Linked DNA regions of Drosophila melanogaster. Changing the gene in region 1 together with any one later gene gives a genetic interaction. Each region holds a gene or a part of one and is shown in the gene's direction. Other genes may lie near its edges. The genes, in order: key and Diedel.

Region 1 (4,341 bases):
GCTCTCCGACGTACAGCTGGAGGCACTAGATCCGTATCAGCGCGATGCCAACGAGCTGAGTAAGTGCCTCTATCTGCGTGGGAGAATGATTGATTTCCGCGTCAGAACTTCCGCAGTGCGCAGTCGCGACGTGCTCGACGTGAGCTCTAAATCTCGGTGTCGATCTAATCGCTCTTTTCTTCCGCAGTCTGGTCATCGATTATGGGGGACCATCCGAGCGGAGCCAGCCTGGTGACAACGAGGCAGCCGCTCCAACAGCCCCTGCCAACTCCTCCTGCGTCCTCTCTGATCATCCTAACGCGCCAGCAACTTCCGCACGGAGCATCCCATGCCCACCCCATCCAGAGCTCCGGCTCCGCCACCAATCCAATCTTCGAGAGCGGCGAGCAGAAGCACAAATACGCCATGGACATGGACAAGGCCTACGGCTACGGGCCGCAGTCCAGCAGTGAGCTCCCAATGGCCGCCGCACTGACTTCAGAACCGTCCAAAAGATTCCTCACCGGACCTTTGGTGATCCGGGTGCGACCCGATGGCTCCCCGGTGGAGGAGGACAAGATGATGCCACTGCCGCGGGACGAAGACCTGCCCTACTTTCATCTTGGTCTGGCCGCCGCTCAGCCCAACAGGCACCGCAAGATCGCCACAATCAGCTCCTTAAAGCAGCAGCACTTCGCCTCTATCCTGCAGAGCGACCTCCAGCCACCCCACCAGACGCAGAGGCGTCTGTTCCGCCAGCAACAGGCGTAAGATCGCGGTCAGAGGATCCGCAGGCCTAGACCTAAGTCCTTGTGTGAATGTGATAGAGCAGATGAGGAGATCCTGCATCATAGAGTGCGAGAGTGAACGTGTGAGTCTTCTAGTTGTAGCCGTTTGAGGAGTTTTCTTGAATGCACTTGAGCTTTAATGGAATTTCGTATCGTATTCGTTTAAGTTTTTTTAATTTTATTTATTCGCGTGCATTAGTCGTAAGATCACATAGAGATTCTTGAGTAATAAACCGCATGATGATTATCATTGTTACGAACGTATTAATTCTAAAATGTGTGGATTGGGATGGAAATGAGGATGGGGATGCGGTCTGTGCACATAGCCAGGAACCGGTTGGTTATGGTAATACGAAAGTCGCATCTCGGCCAGCCACCAGTTCCTTGTCGCGAGCTCCACTCACACCTATATTTAACACGCGAAAGCCTTATTAACCCACATCTACAGAGTTGAGCCGAACAATGGAGGTACTGAATCCGGTTTGGCGGGTTCAGAACGCACTGCGCCGTCCATTAGAATTTGCGAGTTTTGGCAATTACATTTCGGTGTAATTTCGCTGGCAACTGGTTTGTCAGGCTCAGGCCTTTAGGACGCGCCCATTAATCTCAGCTGAGCAACAAAGGAAGGTAAATTGGGATGCACGTCACTGGGCTTGAATAAATGATGCCGGGACTTTCCACCGCCCTTGCAGTGCAAACTGCACTTCATATGCACGAGTTTTGGGCGTGTAATCAGTTTTATTGAAATTAGCTGCTTTTAAATTTAGATAGACGAGCTCGCCGATTGTCGATAACATTTCCGATTATGACAATATGACAATCAATGACACAAAAAAAGGCACATTTGAAACGATTGCGGTCACACTGGTCTAAGTTGTTTGGTAAATTAGTTAAAAGTAAATATTACTCCGAAAACAATTTTATTTCCTTAAAGCTTGTCAGCAAAGCAAAACGAGATAAGGAACGCAGTAGTATATAAGGTATATATGCAATAAACATGACAATTGCTTATTCCATTGTGACGCGTCGATGTAATTCCCACGCCTAATGAATCATTGCCCTAAAACTCATTTATTATACATTTATCCTTACTATTGCCGATATCAAATTAATCGATTTGGCTAATACTTTGCCGTCTAGTTTTCGAAAGAGGGGAATTCCCTCACCTGCGTTCACAGTCGTAAAATCTGATTATTAATACCCGCCATTGCTACCGCGACAACGGAGACATGTCGGACGAAGAGTCATTCGTTATCTTGGGTAGCTCGCCGTGCTCCTCGCTCATGCCGGACAGTTCCTTGCGGTCCGACGTATGTGGTAACGCGCAGGAGGCGAAGGAAACCGTTGCCTCTACGAGCACTCAGCCGCCAACAGTGAACTGTATTCCAGTCAGCATCACTGCATCGCAGCAGCAGCACAAATCGCTGGATTCCGGATCTTCCCAGCAACAATCCCTGGCGACCAGCTTCATTATGGGAGAAATTCAATCCGATGTCCTGAAGGTGAGCGTCTGGTTACCGTCTGGTCTGTTTAAATTCTAACAACAGTCTCTAAATCCAACCACAGAACAGTGTTTATTCGCAGTTTCCCAGCCTCTGCTCGTTGCAGGGCTCCGCAGAGGAAGTAGTTAAGCTGCAGAACATGATGACCGAGTACCTCGCGCTAAAGAGTGAGCATTTTTTTCCCGTAAAGTAATATACAGCAATAATATGCCATTATCCGGCCAGGCACACTTGACAAGGTCAACCAAACCATGCTGAACTACCACAACCTGACTCAACAATGGCGCCAGGAAGCCGCCGACCGAGAACACCAGTACAAGGAGCATGTGAAAGAGTGCCAAGCGCAAATCGCGATCCTTCGCGTGGAAAACCAAGAGCTGAAGAGGGACCTAGAGACGAAAATCGAGCAGATTGAAGGGGTTCATACCATCAGGCTAAAGGAGCAGGATGAGCTTCGTAAGAGCGTATCTGAGAAACAGTCCCTGATCGACAACATGCGCGTGGAGATTGACAAACTGAAACAGCTAAATGTATGTCTACCAGTTGCTCCAAGCGATAGGGCAAATACTTGCATACAGACTCGCAATCATTGCTATTCTGCATTGTAAACTGGACAGTATCTCTTTAAAATATTCTCTTCCGGGCTCGCACCCTTTTTCTTCTGTTATTTCAGCACTCGTTTGAGTTCGTACCAGAGTATGCAACCGAATCAAAATCCCAGGAGCTGATAAAGAAAATGCAGCTGGATATTAACGAGCTGAAGGCCAGGGACATCCAGAAGCAGGAGGTGATCAAAGGTCTACAGATCCAAAACGATATCTACCGCAGGGACTTTGAAATGGAGCGGGCAGATCGCGAGAAGAATGCCGGAGAGAAAGATCAGTATCTTATGGACTTGCGATCATTGCAGAGGAGGAACCAGGAGCTTATCGAAGCTCTGGCCGAGTCCCACAAGGCAAGCAAGGCGTGCTCGACCGCTTCTCCGCTGAGTTCAAGCAGAAGCAATTTGCGAGAGGAGCAGAGACCAGTAAGAGTACGCTGATTCCAAAGTCCATAAATGTCAATACTAATTTTTGTATCGGTAGATTCTCGACCCAACAGGCGCCTCATCCCGGACTTCAGACACCACTTTGCGATGTCCGATCTGTTCAAAGTCCTTTAACGCCTTAAGCGTGCTTCAGAGTCACGTTAACGATTGTTTGGATAAAAACTAAGCACAATTTCTTACCATATTAATAAATTTATATATATATATATATTTTCTTTTTTTACAATATCTTGTTTAATCTTAAAAGCCTGGCTAACCGGCCATATTATATAAAAACACTAATTACAGTTTCGTTAACAATGAACAATGCACGAGTCTCCTCAGAGTTTGCTGCGAATGGGGGGCATTTCCAGAGACCACACGCGGTGTACATCTGGACTGGCTACCAGGTTGCTAAGCACATTTAAGTCTGCAAAGAATTAAGATAAGCTAGAAACCATCGATTCGACATTCTGCTCACCGTTGGTGCGTGCAAACTGCTGCAACGTGTTGCGGATATCACAAATTGGAATGGCTGTATTTATGTTTGGGTAGACGACGTCGTCTAATTTAATGTTGGACACACAAACGCCTAGGATGCATCCATTCTGGTCGAACATCGGTCCTCCACTTTGGCCCGCCTGCACGCTGCCATCGGACATAATGGCCCCGGTGTCGCACTTGATGACCCTCCCTTGAAAAATCGAAGGGTTGAAGTCGTGCCTGAAGCTGAAGTTAACGTAGTAGGGAAACCCGGCGTTGTACACCATTTGCCCGACGGTGGCCGGACTCCTGGCCAGTCGCACGCAGCATTGCTCCGGCACATCCTGCGGAGCTGTGAGTAGAGCCAAGTCGAAGGGCTTATCGCTGTCCGGATTGCACCAAATCACCTCAGACTGGAACTCGCGATCGGCAGCACGGCAATTAACAGTCTCAATGTTCTGCGTGAAAGACATTATTTAGTGCGCCAAGGTTTCGGGCAGCCCATGCTTGCATACCTGTCCCACCACATGTGCACAAGTGAGGATAAAGCGCTTGTTGTGTA
Region 2 (3,006 bases), on another chromosome or scaffold:
CAAGTCACCTCGAAGCCATCCGTGAACACGGCCGAGTAGACCAGTTGGTAGACGGCCATTATTGTCGAGATGACGGTGGCGGGCAGCCCTAAATTAGTTAAGTATTACACATTTGTACATAGTTAAGTTCGGAGACGATGGACACTCACAGTAGTAGGGCGAGAGACCATCGGGCGTGAGTTCCGACTCGGTGGTCACCACGATCATGTCACCGGAGCTGCAAGCAGAGAGCAGAGAGGCGTAAGCAAACAGTTGATGCTGCTCCAAGTTGGAGCCCATGATGGCATTACTCATAGCCAGACAGACGAACGAGTGTGGCTGGCCGATTAACCCCATTGACCCGCCGACACTCGATCGCGATCGCCCGCTCTTACCGCTGACGGATGGTGGCCGTGCCCGCCTTGGGCTTGCCCCGACCGATGCACATGCGGTAGCCGTGGTAGACGCCCAGGACGACGGCGAAGAGCAGCGGCAGCAGCAGGCCGTAGGTGGCGAAGTGGCAGTAGGCGACGTTGCCGCCCTCGAAGCTGTGGAACGTGCTCTTGCCGTGCAGCACGCAGCCGCAATTGGTGTCCGGGCAGGCATTGAGCACGTACTGCCAGTGTGTCCAGGCCACCGCCGAGGTGATGCAGCAGACCAGCGATGAAACGATGGCCAGCGGGTAGAGTAGGGACAGGGCTCGCTCCGCGTAGTACGACATCGTGCGAATGGTATCTGCTCGCAGGAGTATCTGAAATAAGCGGACAAGTGAATAGTGAATAGAATATGGGTATCTTTGATCCCCAGCCAGGTCAAGTTGATCTTAATTCAACTTTAAAGTACTTATGGTAATGGGCAGTCAAGTTAATTAATTGGCCACTTTTCGAGCGCTCTAATTGCTCATCTAATTGTAATTATGCCCAATTCGTTCAAGATGATTGCTTAAACGCAATTGTGGGTTTCGTTTTACATTTCCTCAAATGGAGAAAGAACATTATTACTAGCTGTTCAAATTTAACAGCAATTTTGAGTTTGTAACGAAGCTTTTTTCTAAGAAGTTACTAACAATTGTTAGCTTATCTGATTAGTTTAAAAAACTCCTTTTTTTGACGATAGTGAGCATCTCTTGAAATTTAAAATCGATAACTTTGCAACAACAACAACTCTTTGGGCGTCCCTTAACACACACACACACTGTCGCACCTGCCCAAACACACACACATAGAACAGGTTGCAACGCGCACTGTACCAGATATAAACAAACTATAATGTTTGCAGCTACCACTTTCGATGTCCCTTTAAGCAGCTGAATTTCGGTTGCGCAAAGCGTTTAGTTGTTCGCTAATGCTGTTTCTATATCACATTTCTCACAGAATTCAGGGATAAACAGGAAAACTGCACTGCTGACACATACACGCACACAGGCGCACTGCAGGCACACCTACGTTTATCGATATCGATAGGCGGGCGACCGAAGAAGCGACCGAACGGTTGAGCGGCGAAGAAACGACTGAACGACCGTCGTTTCGCCACTGCGTTCTGATCAGAACGGGCCGCTAGTGCTAACGCTTTTAGCCGTCTGGCAACGCCGATCACCAAAATTCAAATGGGATTTCCGTTACAAGTGATCTGTGTTTAAAATTTTATTTTTGATTATTACAAGTTTTATTTAAACTAAAGCGCAGTAACTAGACAGTATTTCATGACTATGTGTTTGAGTTATGTTAGAAGTAAATTTCCCGAGAACTGGGCCTAATCAATTTTCCTAATAACTTGGAGCGCATTTGCCAACTAAGCGAATTCCCTGCACCCACTGTGAGCGTATAAAATCGCTGTTTGCCGGGGTGAAAAGCATTAGTTCTCCCAGTAAATCCAATCATGGCATCCCCAGTAGTCAGCCTGCTTCTCGTCGGGATCTGCGCCCTGGCCTTTGTCCATGTGGCTCGGTCGGAATGCTGCACCTCCCGGGAGCTGGTGGAATTCAAGATGGACAGAGGCGACTGCGAGGCTGTGCGTGCAATCGAAAACTATCCCAACGGCTGCGAAGTGACGATCTGCGCCGATGGTGTTGCCCAGTTGGGCGCCTACTGCGGCCAGGGATCGTGCAACATCTTCGGCTGCAACTGCGACGGCGGCTGTCTGAGCGGCGATTGGTCACAGGAATTTGTGAGGAGGAACCAGCAGTACGGAATCCAGATCATCAAAGTCACCAGGCTGCCATTTTAACCCCTTGCATCACATAAACAATAAAGAGAAGCTTTAATTGCATCCAGAAATTACTAATTAATTATGTGTATTTTATTTTATATATGCATGAAATTGATAAGGTTCCCACTTTCTAATCAAATGTAAACAGTTCAATCTGATTACTAGGAACTATTCTTATTTTTAATCTTGAATTCCATTAATTACGCTATTAACTAAAACTATTATACTAAAAAAAAAACAACTATCATCAAAATCTGAGATGATATGGGCTAATTTTTGAATAAAATCCAGTGCTCAAATCATAAGAAGTGATTTTTTGTAGTTTCTAGCATTTGTAATATCTGTTTCCCAACGATCGACCACGCCCCCTGGGCAACCGCCCCTCTGTTGGCCGCTCGCCATGGGAAAAGCAAATGACGCCTGCACTCGCAGAGATCGCCCCGAATAACCCCTCCATATCCACAGATCCACAGATCCCCAGATGCCCATGTAGCCATGTACTCCGCATGTAGTACGATCAACTAGCCGAGTGAATTTTGGCATAAACCATTTTCCGCGGACGCCTGATTTTCTCAGTTTTCTCAGAGTTGTGGAGCCGTCGAGAACGCGGAGCATTCGCCCATGTAAAGCCGCAGAATCCGTCGATTTTCGCCGGAATTTATCAATCCGATTTGCCAGTAATTTGCAACAGAATAAGTGAATTTGCCAAGTGAATTTCCCTAGTTTTTTTTTTCAACTTGCAACGAAAGTGCTAAAGTTACGAAACTGCACTTTCCACGTTGCACTTGCAACCCCAACAGTTTTTTCCACCAGATCCAC

The links.
Region 2: of key (region 1) and Diedel, changing one suppresses a phenotype caused by changing the other (phenotypic suppression), as found in Drosophila melanogaster (one study listed by BioGRID).

What each region holds. Positions count from the first base shown.
Region 1 is NT_033778.4:24,784,697-24,789,037, reverse strand, and holds key (kenny), read left to right. Parts: upstream 1-1,626; 5' UTR 1,627-1,747; intron 1,748-1,907; 5' UTR 1,908-1,996; coding exon 1,997-2,269; intron 2,270-2,333; coding exon 2,334-2,436; intron 2,437-2,494; coding exon 2,495-2,799; intron 2,800-2,942; coding exon 2,943-3,302; intron 3,303-3,354; coding exon 3,355-3,483; 3' UTR 3,484-3,524; downstream 3,525-4,341. Other genes in the region: Reg-5 (rhythmically expressed gene 5), read left to right, coding at 1-59, 188-750; CG3589 (uncharacterized protein), read right to left, coding at 3,638-3,726, 3,778-4,237, 4,295-4,341.
Region 2 is NT_033777.3:29,492,022-29,495,027, forward strand, and holds Diedel (diedel), read left to right. Parts: upstream 1-1,830; 5' UTR 1,831-1,857; coding exon 1,858-2,205; 3' UTR 2,206-2,246; downstream 2,247-3,006. Other genes in the region: CG2310 (uncharacterized protein), read right to left, coding at 1-88, 150-217, 375-700.